6 separate regions of the Mus musculus genome follow, and all the other regions are reported to be linked to region 1. The links are microRNA targets in miRTarBase. Many come from high-throughput screens and were not tested one by one. Region 1 holds a microRNA gene; each other region holds the end of a gene's coding sequence.

What was found. The annotated mature microRNA mmu-miR-335-3p reads UUUUUCAUUAUUGCUCCUGACC and lies in region 1 at 2,286-2,307, shown strand. An mRNA with a match to its seed (bases 2 to 7 or 8) in the 3' UTR can be bound and repressed. Matches are read on the target gene's strand: a 7mer-m8 pairs with bases 2 to 8, a 7mer-A1 pairs with bases 2 to 7 and ends in A, and an 8mer does both.
Region 2: miRTarBase lists Dusp26 as a target of mmu-miR-335-3p. Seed matches in the 3' UTR shown: 7mer-A1 at 1,086-1,092.
Region 3: miRTarBase lists Gpm6b as a target of mmu-miR-335-3p. The part of its 3' UTR that is shown has no 7-base or 8-base seed match.
Region 4: miRTarBase lists Ubr3 as a target of mmu-miR-335-3p. Seed matches in the 3' UTR shown: 7mer-m8 at 1,827-1,833.
Region 5: the mRNA of Prkaa2 is a reported target of mmu-miR-335-3p. Seed matches in the 3' UTR shown: 7mer-A1 at 1,788-1,794.
Region 6: the mRNA of Zfp516 is a reported target of mmu-miR-335-3p. Seed matches in the 3' UTR shown: 7mer-m8 at 1,604-1,610.

Annotation. Positions count from the first base shown.
Region 1 is chr6:30,739,069-30,742,651 of GRCm38, forward strand. It overlaps Mir335 (microRNA 335), which reads left to right and starts at 2,231; the gene lies at 2,231-2,328. It overlaps Mest (mesoderm specific transcript), which reads left to right. Exons shown (of 12, transcript NM_008590.2): 2 at 1,602-1,756; 3 at 3,073-3,152; 4 at 3,460-3,537.
Region 2 is chr8:31,095,948-31,099,530 of GRCm38, forward strand. It overlaps Dusp26 (dual specificity phosphatase 26 (putative)), which reads left to right. Exons shown (of 5, transcript NM_025869.4): 5 at 242-1,099. The coding sequence ends at 441. Among named protein-coding and RNA genes, the nearest start is that of Dusp26, 8.2 kb to the left of the region's middle.
Region 3 is chrX:166,386,320-166,389,902 of GRCm38, reverse strand. Gpm6b (glycoprotein m6b) reads right to left here. Exons shown (of 8, transcript NM_001177955.1): 8 at 870-2,951. The coding sequence ends at 2,802. It also overlaps a transcript of Ofd1 not described here. Among named protein-coding and RNA genes, the nearest start is that of Gpm6b, 44 kb to the right of the region's middle.
Region 4 is chr2:70,020,658-70,024,240 of GRCm38, forward strand. Ubr3 (ubiquitin protein ligase E3 component n-recognin 3) reads left to right here. Exons shown (of 39, transcript NM_177783.6): 37 at 1-3; 38 at 455-594; 39 at 886-3,353. The coding sequence ends at 1,003. Among named protein-coding and RNA genes, the nearest start is that of Myo3b, 17 kb to the right of the region's middle.
Region 5 is chr4:105,032,991-105,036,573 of GRCm38, reverse strand. It overlaps Prkaa2 (protein kinase, AMP-activated, alpha 2 catalytic subunit), which reads left to right. Exons shown (of 9, transcript NM_178143.2): 9 at 244-3,583. The coding sequence ends at 482. Among named protein-coding and RNA genes, the nearest start is that of Gm52670, 16 kb to the right of the region's middle.
Region 6 is chr18:83,000,631-83,004,213 of GRCm38, reverse strand. It overlaps Zfp516 (zinc finger protein 516), which reads right to left. Exons shown (of 6, transcript NM_183033.2): 6 at 1-2,941. The coding sequence ends at 2,882. Among named protein-coding and RNA genes, the nearest start is that of Gm41795, 8.8 kb to the left of the region's middle.

The DNA.
Region 1 (3,583 bases):
CAAATATTAGAGAGTGGACTTAAAAATTATTGTTTAAACCTTTTGGTCCGATTGCTAGTTTCCTTGACTGCTAAAAATCTTAAAATGTTTGGGGTATTTTTACCAAGGTAACTAAAGCTGAGAATGGCTGGGGGGGGGGGTTGTCCCCCCTTTCCTGCATGGAGGAGGTGCACTGAGGTATGGTCCGGAGAGCGTGGGTGTGGCACCTCTGTTTCCCTGCGCCAGCAGGAAGCCCCTGTTCACTCTGCAGTAGGCGCCCCTCCCCGGCGTTCTGCTGAGTCACTGCGGATTCAGTGAGTCCAGCAAGGATGCCCCAGAGGCTACATGAAAATGTATGAACAGGTAACAGGACCAAATGGGTTCTGAGGAAATGAGCAGTAACAACAAAAAGACCCCCCCCTCCCCCAAACCTAATGCTTTTGCTTTTCAAAGAGGTTCAGCCTTAAAACCCGTTAGTGGATAACAGACTGAGATAAAAACCATCGTGTTCTGGCACTGTGCCAGGCATTTCTAGTATAGCCTCAAAAGGTAGAACCAAAGCCTTGTGTCTTTATTGGACAGTGACTTTGGAGGAAGGAAAAAAAAGTCTCAGCGCTGACTAAAGTTGAGGCAGGCAGCTGAGGTTCCTAAGGGGTGCTGGTTTTTACCCACCATTTCAGGTTTACAGAGAACACCCCCCCCACACACACAAAAACCCAGTCAGTTTCATCAAATTGCAGGTAATGTGTTATGTATAGGGTGCACTCAAATACAAAGACAGCGGTTTTATTTGTAGCTCACTTCCTAATGTCTGTAGCTTTAGTTTAGGAGGCACTATCCCAATTCTTTAGAGAACCCTTTCCTTGGTGACCATGGCGGGTCACAAAGGAAATGGTTTCTAATCGTGCCTTATTTCTCGCCTCCAGGATAAATTGATCTGGACCTTTGAAATCCAGGCATGGCAAGCTGGGGCCACAAATCTGTGCTTCCCCCCCCCTCCTGCCCCCCCCCCCCACAAAAGTCTTGAGTGCTAGGTGTGGGGGTGGGGTCTTAATTAAATAAAAGGGAACCACCTCAAGAGTCTGCTAAGAATGCACAAATATAATCTGCTGCCCAGACTTGTAAGAGATTAGATATTCAGGGTCAGGGCAAAGCTGCTTACTGGAATTCTCCTGGTCTCTCCCCTCAACAGTTCCATAGCCCAAATGCAGACAGTAGTGCCAAATGGGGATTCACTTGGTCAGAGGATATGTATGTGTTAGAACCCAGGAGCAGCTCTCTGCTTAAGGCCATGCAGTAAGTTACATATGTGCTTGGAAAGAATGGTAGTGAGCTAGTACAGTGACTGCCAGATGTCAAAGGGTAAAGGTGTTTATCACATTCTTCTTGGTAAAGTTTATGCCATTGTCACGTTGGGTGGGGAGGTGTGGAGTGGGGAAGGGAGGGGTGAAGTGGGGAGGGGAGGGGTGGAGTGGGCAGGGGAGGGGTCGAGTGGGAAGGGGTGGGGAGGGGAGGGGAGGGATGGGGGGTGGGGTCAAACCTCACAGTGCCCAGGTTTCCCACCCATGTTTCATTCTGATTTTTGGAAGTGTACAATGTTACCTTGGCTGCTTTTTCCACAGGATGAGAGAGTGGTGGGTCCAAGTAGGGCTCCTGGCTGTGCCCTTGCTGGCTGCGTACCTGCACATCCCGCCCCCTCAGCTCTCCCCTGCTCTGCACTCATGGAAGACTTCTGGCAAGTTTTTCACCTACAAAGGCCTACGCATCTTCTACCAAGGTGAGAACTGGGCTATTGGAGAATCCCAAGGACGTGGGTCGTGTAGGTTTCAGCTGAAGTTACTTATTTTGTGTCCCTTGGTCTGTTGCTCCACAGTGAAGGTGAGGTGAAGGTGGGGGTAGAATTGTGCCTGGTAGTAATTGCAGCCCCATTTGTATTTGAGAAATTACTTTTCTCTTTTGAGCGCCCCTAGTGTCAGGTAAGCTATATAGTATTTCGAGATCTATCTATACCTTTGTTTCCCCCACGCCCCACCCCATTCCCAAATTCATGCACTATTTTCCGTGATTTGTTATATGTAGCTGATAAGATTGACTTGATGACTGCTATTTAATTACCACACTCAGGATATTCAGTTATATTTTAACCTTCATTATTTCATTTTTCACTTAATTTTTACAACAGCATTTGGAGATAGGTGCCATTAACCTCATTTTATAGCTGAAGAAACCGAGAAACAGATTGGAAAAGATTTCTTTTGGGCGGGGGTCAAGAGCAATAACGAAAAATGTTTGTTTTTCGTAAACCGTTTTTCATTATTGCTCCTGACCCCCTCTCATGGGTTATAGCCAGTCGAGTAAGTATGCATTTTTTTTTTTATGTTGGCTTGTTGTTCTTTCCCAGACTTGATATTCAGTGTTACATCTTATTTGCATAGGTTCTTTAGGTTAAATCCAGTATATGATATTTTAATTGCTTTTAATTAAATAATTTCTGAAAACATGCTACCAAAGTTTTATTCCACTAGCAGTATTAATTTCAATCCAGTACTGTTGGCAAGGTATTTTATTGTTTGAATAATCTGAAATATGTCACATACAGAAAAAGTTCCCATCACTATTAGCCCATCTTTGTAACAGTTTGATTTTTTGAGTTGCATGAATTCTGCTAGTATATGGACAAATGGTATAAGCTCAGGTGATCCACTGGGAAGAACTGTCACATCTTAGATATTAGGTGTGATAAATATTGATTAGGGACAAAGAAGTTTTAGCTTGCTGTGATTATAGTATTTTAACTGTTTTTCCTTTTTATTTAAAAATTTGAGTTTTATATTAATGTCAGCGAAAATATGAGGATGTCTACACAACTCTTAAGTGATGATGAACAAACTGTTTTAAGGGTTTTCATGTAAAGCATGCCATTACGATTTAAAAGCGCAGATTAGGAGGAAGCTCCTGAAGTCCTGTCAGCTTGCTTTCTAACACAGCATGGTGATGTCATTCATTTAGTCTGATCCTTTTGACTGGATTAGATTTTGGTGTCGTCAAGGCTGCCTTGCATGCAGTTTGCCTCATTTCTCATTTTCCTCCTAGATTCTGTCGGTGTGGTCGGAAGCCCTGAGATAGTTGTGCTTTTACATGGCTTTCCAACATCCAGCTATGACTGGTACAAGGTAATAATGTTTCTAGGTCTGGCTTATGTCCTAAAAAAAATACTCAAAACTCAAGATATTTTTTTTGTTGTTGTTGTTGTTCTGGTCAGCCCTAGAATTCTTTTGCAGATTTGAACTGTTTGATAAAATCTCATTAAATGTAGAATTGCTTTTTATGTACTGTAAGGGGAGTAAAATACTGACTGCAGAAAGGGACACTGCCAAATTAAAGCTGGAGTTACGCTCTCCGTACAGTGGCATGCAGGCCTGTTTGCTGTGGGGCTGGGCAGTGGGAGCAGAGTGCTCACCATGCTTGCTTTCTTAACAGATCTGGGAAGGGCTGACCCTGAGGTTCCATCGAGTGATCGCCCTTGATTTCTTAGGCTTTGGCTTCAGTGACAAGCCGGTAAGCAGCAGCTGGGTGTGGTCCGTGATGGGGGTAGGTGGGTGGG
Region 2 (3,583 bases), not on the chromosome of region 1:
TACATGGTTTCTAGGGATAAAACTCAGGTTGTTAGGCTTGCGTGGAAAATGCCTTTACCCAGGGACCCATCTCACCAGCCCAGGATCTACATTCTCGGCACCACTCTTCCTCACCCAGTCCTGTCTCCATATGCCACGGGCTTACAGCCTAGTGGACCATGCTGAGCTCTCCCTAGCCTCTCGCAGCCCCCCCCTTCGCCCCCCAGCAGTCTCTCAGATGTTTCTGCCTTCCTCTTCCCAGGGAAGATCCTGGTGCACTGTGCGGTGGGAGTGAGCAGATCCGCTACCCTGGTGCTGGCCTACCTCATGCTGTATCACCACTTCACCCTTGTGGAGGCCATCAAGAAAGTCAAGGACCACCGAGGCATCACCCCCAACCGGGGCTTCTTGAGGCAGCTCCTAGCCCTGGACCGTAGGCTGCGGCAGGGTCTAGAGGCATGAACTGAAAGGAACCAGGCCAGGTCTCTGGGTGGTTTCCTGGCTCCCAGCTGGGAAGAGAAAACCCAAGTGACAGGTAGTAGAAAGACCAGACAACCCATCCTCCCTCAGCAGCAGGAGAGTGAAGAGCCCCAAGACCACTGTGGCTCTTTGGGGATGGGGATGGAGAGCCAGGTTGGGCAGTGTGATGGGTAGGGGCTGCTGACCTGGGAAGGAAGCAGCTGAGCTGTAAGAGGATGGTTGTGTGGTTAGGCCAGTCCTGGGTTAGAGCAGGGTGTGCCCAAATGACTCAGAATCTCTTCCCCTCATTGTGTTCAAGTGCCCCCCCCCAAACAAAGGACCACTGCCCTGAAGTACGTGAGCAGTGGGGATGTCAGGGTTGCAGACACATAGATGTGAAGGAAGGTGGTACAGGTTGCAGAAAGCAACATTAGAGTCGGTCGGTCAGTGATGGAGTGGTGTGAAAGCCACCAATGCAGAGGGAGCAGGTTGTAGGTTATAGCTGTGCAACTCCAGGAAGAGGGAGGTGTGTGAGGACTGACATGACACCCTACGGGAGCTGCTCAGGGTCAAATAACTTGGAGTCTTTTAGGTGGTCATAGTCTCACTGAAAACCATGCGTCTGGAGTTAAAAAAAAATAAAGAGGTGAAAAAGAAGAAAGTGTCTTGGCGTTATTAACAGTTTGACCCCTTCCTTCTGGGAACCCCTGGCTCACTTTCTAGCCACCAAACCCTTCACCAATTCTTATACAACACTATGAAAGCTTGAGCTGTTATTTCCAACTTATCCACAAGGGGGCAGCAGAGGACCAAAATCTGGATGTCTGCAGCTATTTGGCAGTACTGTCCAGAGGTGAGCCACCCAGGGACCTTTCATCTTCCAAGGATAGGTCTCTCTGGCTCCTAGGGGTGATGAGACAACAGAATACTAATCCTAAATCAAGATTAGCCTAAGTGTTCTACTGTAGGCGCCAAAGTTTAAGGGACAGATCCTTCTAGGTTTTGCTCAGAGGAGTGTAGACAAGCAGGAAGAACATGCTATCTCAACTACCAGGAAGTCATCGCAACTCTAGAGAAAAAGTAAACCATGTTCTCTTTTATTCTGATAGTATATGTCAGAATGGAAAAAGGGGATAGAGAAAGCGCAAGGAAAACATACAGGGGGGAAATGAGCCAGCAAGATAGGTGTATGCTGTAACGCTCTCTCTCTCTCTCTCTCTCCCTCTCTTTCTTTCTCTCCCTCTCTCTCTCCCTCTCTTTCTCTCTCCCTCTCTCTCTCTCTCTCTCTCTCTCCCTTCTCTCTCTCTCTCCCTCCCTCACACACACACACACACACACACACACACACATACACACACATTTTCTCTCTCTCTTACACACACACACACAGACTCTCACAAAAGTATGCACTAAAAGTTTTCAAGACACTTATATACGAAGTGTATAAAAGTGTATAACTACTCCAGAGCGTAGAAGCTAGAAGTGACTCTCACAAAGTGTGGCTTCTAGAGAATATATGGATAAAGAACGAGTTTCAGGATTATCTTCCAGGGTGGATTCTAGATTGTTATTCGTTAATGTCCTAGCTCTATTTCTGTGTTTTACTTCATCTAAAGCTGGGAGGCTCCTTCACAGATTGCAGCTCGACTGTCCAAGAGGCACAGACATCTGTCTCACCTCTGTGCAGCACCAAGCCCTTGCTTGAACATTTCAGCCAACGGGATTCACCACCTCTTAGTCTCGTTTCCAGACAGTGGTTCTGGCTTCTTCCATGGGACGATCGTGGTCATTTCATAGGTAAGACTCAGCTTCGCATCTAAATGGCCACGGGCTCTAGCTCCACCTTTTACAAAACTTTCCCCATCTCTTGAGACAGAGAGGGAGTTCTCTGGTTTGAACCTAGTTCGAGTGGTTCTCTTCTGACCCGGTCCTTTCAGACCAAGAGCTATTTGTTCCCAACCATCTGCATTTGTCGTATTTCCGCTTACCCTACAGGCTGGCCAATACTGCATTCCTCCATATTTATGGGAAGCAGAATTCACACCTCAGAATATGCAGATCCTGACTCTCCAGGGAGACCTGTGAGATGAGGGGATAGCAGGCTCATTCGCTAAGGATTCAAAGTGTGGTATCCTCTGAGGACCCATTTATCAAAAGGACAGAGAGAAGCCTTCATCAGAAATGCGGATTCTAATCAAAATAGGTTGGTTTCCTACTAGAGCCATGAGCCAAAGCCTGGCATGGTAGCACACATGTGTATAATCCCAGTACAGGGCGTTGAGACATTGAGGCAGGGCATCATTACATAGAACATTTCACAATCAATTTTTTTCCAAAGGTTGATTTGTTTGTTTGTTTGTTTGTTTGTTTAATGTAGCTGAGTACACTGTAGCTGTCTTCAGACACACCAGAAGAGGGCATCGAATCCCATTACAGATGGTTGTGAGCCACCTTGTGGCTGCTGGGAATTGAACTCAGGACCTCTGGAAGAGCAGTCAGTGCTCTTAACAGCTGAGCCATCTCTCCAGCCCCACAATCAATATTTAGAAAGTGTCAAATGAATTAAACATAATTAAAAATAACGGATGGGAATATGACTTAGTGGTAGAACACTTGCGTACATTTTTTTTTTTGCAAGAGAGCCTGTATTCAAGCCTTAGCACAACAGATGATGGTGATGGTGATGGTGATGGTGATGGTGATGGTGATGATGATGACGACGACGACGACTATAAATAATTCACGCTCACAGAAGGATCCACTGTAACTATGATTACAGCAGTATAGCATGCAATAGAATGGTCATCTTTCTTTAAAATCTACAATGCGGGCTGGAGAGATGGCTCAGTGGTTAAGAGCAATGAATGCTCTTCCGAAGGTCCTGAGTTCAAGTCCCAGCAACCATATGGTGGCTTATAACCATCTGTAATGAGATCTGACGCCCTCTTCTGGTGTGTCTGAAGACAGCTATAGTGTACTTACATATAATAATAAATAAATCTTTTTTGGGAAGGAGTGAGCGGGGCCAGAGTGAACAGAGGTCCTGAGTTCAATTCCCAGCAACCACATGATGGCTCACAACCATCTGTACAGCTACAGTGTACTCATATACATACATACATACATACATACATACATACATACA
Region 3 (3,583 bases), not on the chromosome of region 1:
TGCTCAAGTGGTGGGACTAAAGGTGTGTGCCACCACCTGGCTCATTTCATCCTTTAAAGTGTGTGTGTGTGTGTGTGTGTGTGTGTGTGTTTAAACCAGAGGTAATTGGAAAAACCTGTGTCCCCCAGAGGTTCCTATGTTTGATGGTAGAATTACTGTCAAGGTTACTTGTGGTTGTGTTAAAGCACTCTAGTATTTATTCAGGAGGCTTATCCAGTGACACAGTGCAGCCTGAGCAGACGGTGTTAAGTGAGACAAGCTTCATTACATTGGAGCTCCTGCTCATTTCCCTGCAGTGCGTGAGTGAAGGGGAATGATCCAGAGGCAAGTCCTCATTTAGAGGTGCTGTGCCCAGAATGCTAAAGGCACGGCCTCACATGGAGAGCAAATGCATAGGCACCCTGACAGGGTTCTTTCAAGTTAGACAAGGAAATCCCCACACAAATTTAGTGCTGCTGCTTAAAGAATCAACTTAGACTTAGCTTTCATTATATCCCCAAATATACCTTTCCCCCTAGACTTTGGCTTATAAGTCAACAGTTTATAGACCCTTATTCAAGTTCCCCATTTTTTCCTTTGCCCAAGATTAAACTATGTATGTGTCAATCCTGTAGGTAGATGGCTTTTTATTGGAGAAACTAGTTGGGAAAATTCTGTGCGTTTCACACTCAAGTGCTAGTAGCATTTTATACAAAGTACAGCTCAGTGGGCTACAGTATTTTCTCAATTTGCTCTTGCTAAAAACATTTTGCTTGTGTTTGTGTGCACGTGCAAAATGAAACCAGTAGCAGTCTTCCATGGACTATATGTCTCTACCTATGTAAAATCTTGATGATGTATATTATTTAAAAAAAATGACACCATACCGCGAACAGAGAAAGATAGGATTTATGTATGGTAAAAAGGCAAGCGAATGAAGCTATAATTTTATTTCATTATTCTTTAGTACATCCACAACTATTTCCACCTAAATAGATCTTTAAAATAAGCATACACAAGTATTGACTATTATCTACAAATATTTATTGTAACACTTGAATAGAACTACAGGAAGCCCTTGGCACTGATAGAAAATATTGATTCACTGTTAGGTTACAAAAATTTATACATAGCAAAATTTAATGCTCTTTACATAAAAAATATTAGACTACTTCAACAAAACTTTCAAAAGTTCCTGGCAATAGCTACCAGAATTAGAAAAGTAAAATTAGGCTTTAGACACCGCCTCTTCTAGAACACTGGACTCTTAACAGCACCTCCACTGCTGGAAACAATAATTCTGTCATGCAACAGGAAAACAAAACACTAAGCTATCTTGGAACAACTGTTCTACACAGAAGAGAGCGTCTCCCAATTAAAAGGAATCCAATTAGGCGTTTCTCGGCATTATCCAAAAGAAAAAAAATCCAAATGAAATATTATAGTTGATGTTCAGTTTTACTAGCATCTTGATAAAGATATGCTTCCTTTCATTTGAATACATCTCTGCACATGTATATGTTTTAAAATCCAGGAAACAGCCAAACCACAAGTTAACTCTTAACATGAATATACATAGTTAACCCTATAGTATGCAGCCCCTTTGAAAAGCACTGATGCACCCCACAGTTATATGGATCATTCCAGAAAGAAGAACACAAAACTTACCATCACTAATACCCAGTACCTATTAGTCACTTAATGTTCTGGAACACAATGAGTTAGAAGGCAAGTTTCTTTTGAAAATGGCTTAAACTCAAGCAGTTTTCTTGCTGAATATCAAACATTATTATTCCAGGAAATTAAGATTTAGATAGGAAAACAGTGAAATAAATACCAACCCTAATTTAAATTACTTATGTATTAAAGTCTATAAAAGTAGAAGGTCAGAGGTCTGTGGTCAATTTGCAGTTAGGTTTTAGATAGTTGATATGAAACTGTAAACTCACTGTCCAGACCACTTAAAAATGGTTTAGAATGGTAGTCACTTTAACAAGGTAACACTTCTTAAGAAAGATATTCATGGAACAAAATAATCTATGTAGGAATTTTGGGTTTCTGGTTACAATATAAATGATTAGAAATTGAAAGCAAATATTAAGGCAGAGCTGACATTTATTTCCAAACAATAGTGATCACCAAATCCTCAGTCCCATTTTGTTCCGATGTGATCAACTGGGAAGCTCATTTTGCAGAGCTCGGGTCAGAATCCAGCTTCTGCACTGATACATTTAGCACACTTGCAGCTCATTTTCCTATTACTAGAAGATAGGTTTCTCAGTGGCTTGGGAAACATTCGAATGTGTGAGACCGTGAGGGTGCTGAGTTTTAAGTTTGGAAGAATCACATTATCTTTGATGAGCCAAAGGTTAATAAAGGTCAGTTATCAAAAATGAACTTGACACTGATTCTATTTTGATAACACTTGAAGACAGGTGGCATATGTAAATCTAGGGTCATATCCTTTGATTCTGGCATGCCATAGGTCCCCAGTAAGGAACGTGATGTGATTCTATCCCGTGTTAAAACTGCTCTAGCAGTTAACTGGACATGCCACGACTTTGCAAAGGATGAACGGTCATTCTGTCAAAAGTGTTGCCTTTTAAAATGGCTAAAGTGAAACCTCCAATATTTGTTCTAAAGAAACTGATTTACCCACTGGAAGGTTTTCCTAGAGATCCACCCCAGCAGTTTGAGACAGACAGTGAAATGTTGGTACGTCTACATTAGTTTGGTGGGATACACATCTGTACTGCAGAGCAGCTGTCTGATGATGTGTCAGAGCTGTGAATTCATTGGCTGACACGCTCTGGCAAACACTTTTAAGTGTAAGAATTGAGTTGTTCTTTTGAGCGAGACTGGATATCTTGCAGTTCCTGCTCTTCCTTTGCTTTGATATCCTGGTAAGCCTGCATTTTGCTTGCATCCTTTAAGTAAGCCCAGTTAGAAGACAGTATCATGAGGAAGTGGATCTGGAAAAGAAGGGTGAGCATGATGGCTAGTGAGCATGTGAGAAGGCAAAGCGAGCTGCTAGTCACATTAGACGGATCAGCTGGAGAAGGGCGAGGGTTATTCGCTATTAATACTCTTCTGCTGGCAGAGCTGGCAGACACGGAGCATGCTCTACTAGTTTGCTTCATAGTAGGTTGAAGAAACGTTAGTATGCACATATAGTGAACTTGGGAATAAAATGACCAAGTTATTGTTAAGAAGTAAAAATGAAATATATGACAGTGTTTTTCACCATTTTGAGAGTAATTTTAAAAGACAAATGCAAAAGTTCAGAAACATGTTGCTTTTTATGTTTAAAAATGTGGAGCAAAGACTTATCTGTGGGTAAAAAAAAAAAAATCCCCCCAAAGGCCTACAAAGTGTGAAAAATGTTCATTTTGAGTAAATGACTATAGAAGTATATATTTACCATGAAGAAATTAAATGAATGTCAAAACCAAAATTAAAAGCTAAGTATGAAGTCTATATGTTAACAATTTTTTAGCAATGAAAACTATTTTCTCCCTTTTATAACTGCCAGTATTTCATTTCCTCTAAGTTCATTTCACATAAAAATCCTTATCATTCTTTACAGTTCCTGTGGCATACACAT
Region 4 (3,583 bases), not on the chromosome of region 1:
CTGGTAAGCAGATGGACCAGAGCCATCCAGCCCGGCTCTGGGGAGTGTGGCACAGTGAGACTCTGAGCTCTACACAGTCTGTGAGTTAGACAGTACACTCAGATCTTGGTAAAACCCAGATTGTGTTTAAGAATAAAGTAAAGCCTTTCTTAAGTACAATCCCAGTTCTTCTCTCTTTTGCCCGCCTTTAACATGCAGGGCAGCAGCCTTCACTGATGCACTGGGGGCCAGCCAGCCTTAGCGCTAGATGAGCTGGTAATGCTTCTACATTGTGCTCGCTTCAACGCTTCTTCATTTATTCATGAGCTGTTGGAGCTGGGGATACAGGCTTAAAGAGAGAAAATATTATTTTAAAATTAATAGTAGTTCTAGATTAGTAATGATTTCTACAATGGCCATTTGATTTAAAGTGCATTGGTTTTTCTTGTTTGTTTGTTTGTTTGTTTGTTTAAAGCATTCTCAGAATTGTGGTGCAGGAACAGGAATTTTCCTTTTAATCAACGCGTCAGTGATCATCATCATCCGAGGCCACCGCTTTTGCCTCTGGGGTTCCGTCTACTTGGATGCTCATGGAGAAGAGGACCGGGACCTCAGGTTAGCCCTGCCTTGAAACACATGTCAAGGGTTTTCCTGAAGCTCCAGCAGGAGAGGAGAAACCAGTGTGCCACACCTGGTTTTGCAATTACAACTTAAAATGTTACAAAGTATGACAATCATTAATTTAAATAGTTATTTCTAGCTTTGAGATAGTTTTCCTATCCAAAATACAGGACACATAAAATGAAATTATACTGTTATCTTTGCCATAGTGTGTTGAAGAAGGAATGCATGGGTAAGCCTGTTTGGCTCTCATGATTAATGCTTTGTGCTATTCTTGTGTTGCAGGCGAGGCAAGCCTCTCTACATCTGTGAGGAGCGGTACAGAGTTCTCGAGCAGCAGTGGGTTTCCCACACGTTTGACCACATCAATAAAAGATGGGGTCCGCACTACAATGGGCTGTGACACACACCTCAGCATTGCATATATTATCATTTTCACTGAGATTGATTTTCATCAACAATAAGCTTTAATTTAATTTGGGGGGATTGATGTCTTTGCTGAGGGATAAAAAGAAAACATACATTATGCAGCCTTCCCAAAATTAGGTGCTTGGTAACCACAGTAATGGTATAATATTTTTTCTCAAGTATCCGGACAACAAATAATTTAAATCATTCTTTAGTGGTCACTTTTTAAGTGCACAATAATAAAAGCACAACTGTCCACAGAAATCATTGAGAAATGATTGTCCCTATAACGCCCTGTTGGTTGTTCCCCGACAGAGAGGATGTGGTTTATTTGAGGTTTCCCTGCTCCTTTTGTGTTCTCATTTGCATCTGCTAAACATAATGCATCTTTTCCTTTGTCACCCTTGTGTTGATTTGAGATTTTCGCTGTATGTAATTAGAAACAAATGTAAAACATGATTTATGTGAAATATTGTATAGTAAAAAATTGGTCTAATAGTAGAACTTTACATTTTTTTCTTATTGTGAGGAATCTGTTAAAGTTTAAGGCTTTGCTGAAAACTTAATTCATTCTCAGGAATTTCATAAATGCTTTCCGCGGGTAAATAGTTGAACTAGCTGTAAGATACAGTGCAGTGCAGTGCAGCGCACAGAGGGAGGGCAAGGCGTGTGTGTGGTTGGGGAGGTCCTTAGAAATAAGTGTGTGTGGGCTGAGGGTGGAGCTCAGTGGTAGAAAGCTTACCTGGCTAACATTTACAGAACCCCAGTTTCATCTTAAGCACCGCACATACACAAAATCAATTTGCCATTTCAACTAAATGAAAATAAGAGTTGTTAGTGACGAGCATATGTTACAATAAACTCAAAAGGGTTAAGAACATATACATGGCAGAGTTTTGATTCTGTGCATGCCCACCTTTCCTTACCAACCAAGCCTTTATTTATGTGATCAGATTGAAATGCTCATCTGCCCAACACATGGGCGTTAAGTTCTGGGACTCTCCTCAGTGACTGAAGAAGCTCCTGTCTGCTGGGCTCCTGCAGTGTCACTGATGTTTCTGTGTGCTTCCTACAGCAGAAAAGGCCCAGAGGTACTGACCCTGGGAGTGAGCCGTGCTTCTGCTTTCAGACATTGCAGTGAGGATCAGCTTATTGGTGGGTGGGTGGGGGGTTAATTCAGAATGGGAATGAGTGAGCAAAAATCCACTTAGTAAGAGGGAAAGAAGATGACAGAAAAACATATTTTATTGGTACCAAGACTTTTTTTTCCAGGTGATTGAATAATTTGATGATTATTTCATATATAGTACTATCAAGCAATTCCTGGTACTTTGGATTTCCATGGCTTGCTATATAAAATTACATTTTTTTACTTGTAAAACTAAACAACAAAACATTGAATGAGAAAATATCAAAGTAACATCAAACCCATGTTCCAAAATTTTTTGAATTGATGATGGCGTTACAGACTATGAAATTAACATAAAACAGTGGCTTTGCATTAAAATACGGGGAACAGAGTAGTACACACACAGATGTGTTCAGAATGCCAGAAGATTGCCTGGAGCATTTTAAGAAAATATGCCGGAATAGCTTGCTATTTTTATATACATTTCCAAAATGGTGAGATAACTTTGTTAAGAGTAGAATGACTTCTTCAGGTAAATCCCTGCCCTTCTACACCTGCTCTCTAAAGTGCTGCGCTACAAGCTCAGCCTGCTACCTTTTTTGCTTCGGTCATTATAAATAGCAGACCATTTGTAAGTGTGGTTGAAGAGCAAAATGCTAATTACATCTCTAGTAAATACTGTTACAGGATTCATGAACTTGAGTAATTTTACAGTTTGGAACTCTGATGCTATATATACATGGTATAATGTATTCAGACTTTGATCACTACATATTTAAATGGAATGTTTATGGTTGTGCATATGGATGTGAAGTGAAAATATTAGCCTTAACTTTAAAATTTGGATATTTGATAGTGTTTATTTTGATATTGGTGAATTAGTCACCAGTAAATTTTAAAAAAAGCACTTGGTTGAAATTGTACTTGAATAAATACATGCATGCTGCTAAATTAGAACCTCCATTCCCCTAACTTTTATAAGTCCCATTTATAAACCCACTTTTAAAATAACAGGTCCAAGTTAGAGTGATGTGTGTATATTATTCAAAAACATGTACTGGTGTGATCTTGTATGAATGATCATTTAAATACAGTACATTACTGTAGAAGTGAAATCAACCTTTATAATTAAGCAGAAATTACAAAACTAGGAATAATTGACGTTGTAAGATATGTTAATAAAACCTACTGTCATTTGCTTTGTGCAAGATCCTTATAATGTTGAATGTTTATGTTTTCTTTTCCAATGATATTGAGAATGACATAGGAGAGTGATGGGGTAATTAGGAACCGCCTTTCACTGTGTTCTCTTGCCTCCTCCTGAAGGACCAGGTCCTGTTAGTTTTGTGTGGTCTTACGATCACACTTTTGCTAAGTGTTAAGTGTTTGTGCTAGGTGCAGAAGCATGACTCTGGCCTGTTGTCTGCTGAGAGTTCCTACCTAGGC
Region 5 (3,583 bases), not on the chromosome of region 1:
AAGTAAAACCAAACCTGTGGTCTTAGCAGAAAATAAATTGCCGAGGATGTAATGACTTTTCAGATGTATGCATATTCCCTTTCATTTCCTTATAAATGCTGCATCTTCTAAACACAAGCATCACAGTCCTTCCTAAGCTCCTTGCTCAGATCGGTTTTACTTCGCCTTCTGCAGCATCTTCCCCGGGAGGACTCGGGCAAGCACTCGGCTGTTGCTATGTTTACTGTTCTTTGGTCGTTTCAGATGAGGTGGTGGAGCAGAGGTCTGGTTCTTCAACACCCCAGCGCTCCTGTTCTGCTGCGGGCCTCCACAGAGCACGGTCAAGTTTTGATTCCAGCACAGCTGAGAACCACTCCCTTTCTGGCTCTCTCACTGGCTCTTTGACTGGCAGCACTTTGTCCTCGGCATCCCCGCGCCTGGGCAGTCACACCATGGATTTTTTTGAAATGTGCGCCAGTCTTATCACTGCTTTAGCTCGTTGATTATCCACCCCTGGTCTCTGTCTTTCTGTCACCCCCCTGTGAAATCACATACACTCTTTAAATTATTATCTCACTCGGTATTACGTGCTCTGCAATAGAAGTTGGTGTGAACATTCCCAGGTGACATGCAGTGTTATTGAAATCACCGAAAACACAGAAATCCAGCATTCTGTTTACTCGTAGAACTCTGTAACTCTCCTGTGCCTGTGACAAGTTTGCATGGGTAGTACTGGGTGAGTGTGGTGGCGCTTGCTAACTTACACCTGTGAATTCGCTGTAGATGGCAAGCACACCTCACTGATGAACGAACCCGCTGAGGTAGGGGTGGTTCAATGGGCCTCCTTCCTTCATGTTTCCTGTACGTAAATCCGGTTTACCTCCTAAACTTCAGCAGCTGTTAGGCTGCCTGGGCACTCTTGCACAAGAAGATTAAGATATAGAATAACTGTTAGGGAAATATTATTTCAATGTAGAAATCTGAAAATCCTGTCCCCCTAAATATTAGAAACCAAAGTCTTTTAAATTATTTCTGCAAATACTGCCTAGTATTAGCCATTAAGACTGTGTTTCTGATAACAGGAGCCTAATCTCCCAGCTTCCTGACAGTTGTGCAAGGCGCCTAGTTAAATCACACCACCACCAAGCAAAACAAAACCATGCAAAATTAGTACACAGTTCAATGAGACAAGCAAAATACCAACAACAGTCTCTTAAAAGAAAATTCTACTCTATGATCTTGTTTGTGTTTATCAGACTGGGGTAGCTGGGAGGAGGGCCGGCAGTCATGGCCCTCTGGCATGTTTGCTAATTCCCTTAACATTTGTTATCGATGCCACCTCCTCCCTCCGTCTTCCTCAGGAGCCTCTGTCTTGCTCAATGCTTTTCCCTTTCATTAATCCTTTAGCTAAAAACCTTGCTTTGGCCATCATGTCTTTGTATACTTCCAAAGCTTGATCTCTGTGACCTTCACTGTTGAACCTGATTGGACAGGGAAGCCTTAAATATTTAAAAGTATATTCTCCTGGAATACGTATATGTGTTGTTTACATATATATACATATGTATTGACACATCAGTGCTTTTAATCAAAAAAAAACCAAACATTTTTGTGCAAGTTTTTTTTTTAATTTAAGACAAAAAAGCACTATATTGCAAGATAGATTAAGTTAATTGATTATATGTTGTTTTGGTAAAAGTATTTTAAATTATGTGTAATTTATCTAATAATTATTTATTCATCTATTGTATTTATGTTGTAATTTTAAAAATCATTGATCTGATTCACCCTAGAAAATATTAAGCTCTTGAAAAAAAAAAAAAGCAACATTGCCTTGACAGGTTTCTCTTCACCAAAAATTGTATATTTTCTATTTACCAAGAAGCAAATGAGACTGTTAGACCAGGTTTCTCATGAGATTCCAGAAGACAAGTTTGTCTGTCTTTAAATAGCTTTTTGAATCAGGAATTTGCATCATATCACATCAGATAACTTTGTAGTTCTTTTAAAAAGATGGTCAATATTTATCACTCCAACTTCTCAATGGTAAAATAAAAGAATCTTTGCCCACTGATTGAGAAGGAGAGTGTATAATTTAAGGTACCTTAAGTTTAATCTTTGAAAGATTGCCATCTTGTGGCAATAGATGGTAATTTTAGTAGTTATTTTAATACCAATACTTAGTCCTGCCTGGGTTATCTAATGTGTTTTATGAATGTGGCATAGTTCTGACTTCTCCAAATGTGTCTGTATCCTTGTTTGTGGGGTGGGGGAGAGATCACCTTATGATGTTTGCCTAATCATGGCATGGAAGGCCTTGAAGTAAGGAACTGAATAGATTCTTTACCTCTAATAACAGCATCCACAACAGTGATGAAGGCAGGAAGGAGGCAGAATGCTTTTAGTCTAGTGAATTTAAACCAAAATTACTTTATATGAATGATTATGATGCTATTCAAGAGCTAAAAGTTATTTACTATTGTCTTAATTCATTCCAGTATTATGAATACCCAGGTTGACAGTTACCTGCTGAATTTCAGGAGAACTGAAGGTCATTTTGTTTCTTTTAACATTTTAAGACATAATTATTTAATGAATCTAGATGATAGAGTAAGTTGGTTTTCAGAGAGAATTCAGTGACTCATCTCGAAAAGCAGAGGCAGGAATTCAGTCACAGCATAGGGATTTGTTGCTCTTGGAAACAGAGAAGGAAAGAATTCTTTGCAAATTTACAGTTCCTACATTTCAGTCAATCCTATGGGTATGGTAGGTACTGAGTTTAGAGCAGCCTATCCTCTTGGATCGTGCGGAGAATAACTATTAAGTTATAGATGTGGTATGTCTTGGAAACGGAGTCCATCTGTTTCCAAAATAGTATTTCCTAAAACAAAGAAATCCCACAAAATAATTTTGAAATACATTGTGTTCTGCTCTGCACCTTGCAGAGGACAGTGACTATTAACTCGAAAGACTTGCAGACTTTGAGAAAAAAACAAAACAAAAAGACCCCACATAACTGCAAAAACCCTACTTTGCCCAAACTAGTTTACTCTTTTAAAACGTTTGCTGAGTCTGGTTGCTTACCTGTAATACGACTGGGGAGTATGAGGCAGGAAGATACGTTGGGGCCTAAGAACTAGATAGATAGCAAGACCTTGTTTCAAATTGAAACAATAAAGGAACTGTAGCATCCCATAAGAACATAGGAGAAACGATTGTCTCTGAGCGCCACGGTGTGGTCGTTAGTGACAGTGAGTAACACCTCTTCCCCAGAGCCTGATGCTAATTCAGATCTGCTCCATTGACCATGCACATAGGGTCATCCTGAGTCTGGGCTTGTACCACATGCTGGTTTTCCTAATCATATGATGCTTTTTAGGTAGAACATCTATTCTTTTTTTCCCTTAGAGGGTGACTGAAAAGTCCTAGACAAGGTTACTTATGGAAAACCAGAAGAGTAAGAGAGCAGTGGCTTTCTGTTGTGGCTTCATGGATAGCAAGCCAGTTTTATTCATTTTTCAATGGCCACTGAACGTTTTCTAAGTCCTTTTATTTAGGAAACCAAAATTGAAGCTATCTCAAAGTAAATCTACAGGGAGAGAGA
Region 6 (3,583 bases), not on the chromosome of region 1:
TAAGAATGAGTGAATCACCTGAAGTATTTGAGAAACTCTGTGTAATGTGTACTTGAAAGGAGGAAAAGCGTAAGAGAAGACACGTCACACAGTGAAGCAGGGGATGGTGGGGGCTGGGCTGGTGTGAGCCAGAGAGCGAGGCAGGAGTCAGAAGAGGGCAGCTGGAGAGGGCAGGGGACACACAGAGTGAGCGGCTGCAGTGTAGACAACCAAACCCTTTATTGTCTAAGTTACATTAGACGCAACACTGTAAAAACCCCGTCAGGAAACAAGGAGACAGAAGATGCAGAGAGGTAGGTAGGAGGTCCGTAACAGTCAGAGATGTGGAAATCACCACAGGAGGAGGGGCAAAGCAAAACAGATTGGCTAAATAAATAAGGAAACACAAATCATATTAAATACTATTGTTGAGCTGACATAGACAAATTAACAAACCAGTCCAATACTGATGGCCAGCGGGACAGAGAGACCATGCAGCAGGCCAGCACACAGCTGGTCCCAGGAGTGAGCGCTGGGGACCTCATGGCCTTGTGGCTACAGGAAAATTGTGCCTCTCTGTGCTTGGAGGGGCAGGTCATCCTGAGACTGGCTGCTCTCCAGGCAGGCAGACGGACCTCAGGCACCCGTCTTTCCCCGCCAGACCCTGGGAAGGAGACTCATGGGACAGACAGACCTTCCAGTTCTCAATGCCAAGTGCAGCCTCAGACACAGGAAAAACACAGACGACACCTTCGTGTCCCTTTGTGTACAGAACTGTTTAATAACTAAAACACAGAAATAGATGGGCCGAATCACAGGCTCTGACATTCCTAACTCTCACCTTCACTCTCAGCCAAGGGAACAAAAAGCCAGAGAGCGCAGAAATGATGGGGAACCTAGCAAAAAGAACAAACGCCGTCAACAGAAAGGTACTACGCTGCCTCAGGCGGAGAGAGGAATGTATCTCTACGACCTGCTCCTGCTCCAAGTAACGCCTCAGAATGATGGCTATTCCCAAGCGCTCCGACACGGCAAGCCGCTCTCATACAAACCTGCTGTAGGAGTATCAGGAAAAGTAAGTAAAAAAAATTATATACACACACACACACACACATATATATATATATATGTATATATGTGTGTATATATATATGTATATATATATATATATCTGCTAGCCAGTTAACATTGCATTGCTTGCAAGTGCAGCAGTCACCTGAACGGTCAAGTAATTAAAACAGTAACAAATAGAACCTGGAATCAAACATTAACTAACAATAACAACAACAATAATAATAATAATAATATAATAATAATAATAACAATCCAACAGATCATTAGAACAGAGAACCACGCGCCAGGGTTCGTGTATACATGTGTGTTTAAACAAGTCTTTGTATCAGAAGCCCATTTCCTACAAAAACCGCGCTGATCCATTACCGGGTTAAGTAAACTGTCGCTCTCACCAGTATTAAAGGTTAGGATAATTTCTGTACATGTAAAATTATTGCTTTTTTTTTTGAAAAATATATTTAGCATGCTCGTCTTAATCCATTTCCTGCCTTTACAAAATTTCACAATAAAAAAAAACTAGTAAAGCTTTTGCAAAAAATTTCACAGAACGTTTTCATTCAAGGCAGCGGTAATTCGTGATAATGCATAAAATCATATGTGCAAACATCTGGAACTTGCAGAAGTATCGCCATCACACACAGTGTCACAGCAACGGGGAAAGGAATCGCTGCTACCTGCGGAATACAGTTCCGACTGCGCACGTCGCGTGGGTTCGCAGCCTCTGCTCGGGCCTTCACCCCACCGCAGAAACGTGAACTTGCGTGACTAAGGAAGAGGTATATAAAGCCGTCTTCACCCTCAGGCCTGGCGACCCCCATTAATCTGTGAACAAAGTCACTCATCCGGTGGTGCTCACCAGGCCCAACGGGGAAAGACATCTATTTGCTGGGGTGGTGCAGGGGAAAGGGGGTGGGAGGAGGAGAGAGAAGGCTCCAGAGCACTAGCACCCTAAGGGTCTAGGGCCCCCAATCTGCTCAAGGGTTCCTCTGACATCACCAAAACAGGCCCAAATTGGGAGGACTCAGCGGTACTCTGTTAAGACATGGAGTCGCCTTCCGTGAGCAGTTTGCAGAATGTAGCCCTGTTACAAAAAAGGTCCTGAGAATAAAAAAGACACCTGCTCCTCTTAGTGTTCAACTAATGTTTCTTTCCCAAAGCAGATTTATATGTGTTCCCACCTCTGCAGTGTTTCCTGAGCCAGACGCAGCCCGGACGGTGAGGACGCAGCATGGCGGGGCATAAGCAGCTCAGAGGGTCAAGGCCAGACTCCAACCGTGAGGAGCTATCTCATTGCCCTGCCTCACCAAGCTCCTCTCCACAGCACTCGAACACCACCTGAACACCCCTCTGTCTCACCTTCTACTTTAAGTCCCCACTGAGGCGGCGGGGAGAGGCGGTAGTGCAGCCCCCTCCGCTCCCCACATCCTGACAGCATCATCTCTGTCCTACGCACTGGACCTCCCCACAGTGCTGTCCACTTCTTCCAAACACACCAGTATCTTTTTTCCAGTGTCTCATGCCTGTCTTGAGTAATCCAGACTCCTTGAGCTCCCACTGTGCCTGCCAATGCCACTGCTTATCCCGAGGAGACACAGGCCATGGGTGATGAGCACATACATGTGTGTGAAAGAGCTACACGGAATTCTAGGCATAGCATCTTTGCTGTCCCTGGGTCTGCTCTACCGCAATGGCCCCCGAGTCTGACGTATCAGGTCAGGAGGCCCTGGATCTTCTTCCCCAAAGCGGCCATGGTCACTGCTGGAGCCTTCCAGCCGCCCGTGAGGCCACAGTCAACACTGTCACGGGGCCGGGCGCTGGAGGTGTGTCTCTAGATCCCCTTTCGGAGGGGCCCTGCTGGCACAGTCCCTGGGGTAGTATGGTCTCTCCCCTGCAAAAGAAAGAAAATAACAGGCAAGTTCAGTTGGCTTCTAGTCTCAAGGCATTTGCCCTATTCATTTTCTTAGCAACACCCAGAGACAAAAGGTGCAACGAAGCCCTCTGATTCAGGGCGGCTCGGTTTATTCCAGCATCGAGGGATTTGCTTTCACTGCCTTCACAGGAACAGCTCAAAAAACCATCCTCGGGGCTCAGAAAGCATTGCAGGCTCCGGAGAGCAAATAGCAATGGTAGGCTTGGCTCTGCTCAGAGGCTAAAAAGCAGCCAAACAGGAAGAATGGGGGTTTGAAGAGCACAGGTCTGGGGTACAGAGCAGACTCGGGTGAACATTATTCCTAAGGGCAAAGCTGGATTCACATAAACAGAACAGCCCCTGGCACCCACATCCATCTGAGGGAATCTGAGAGTGCTTCCCTCCATTTTCCCAAACAGGTCCCACACGGAAGAAGTGGAAGAGCTGTGCGTTAAGTCATGTGAGCTGTAGAGTATTGCTGAGTGACAGGGTGCACTGGTGTTTGAACAATGTCGTCTCCCAGCTGAGGACAAAACAACGTGCCAGGATGAATCTCTCCTAACACCATCAACCTAGCTAAAATCCTATAGAAATGAAACCAACATGCATTCATAAGCCACA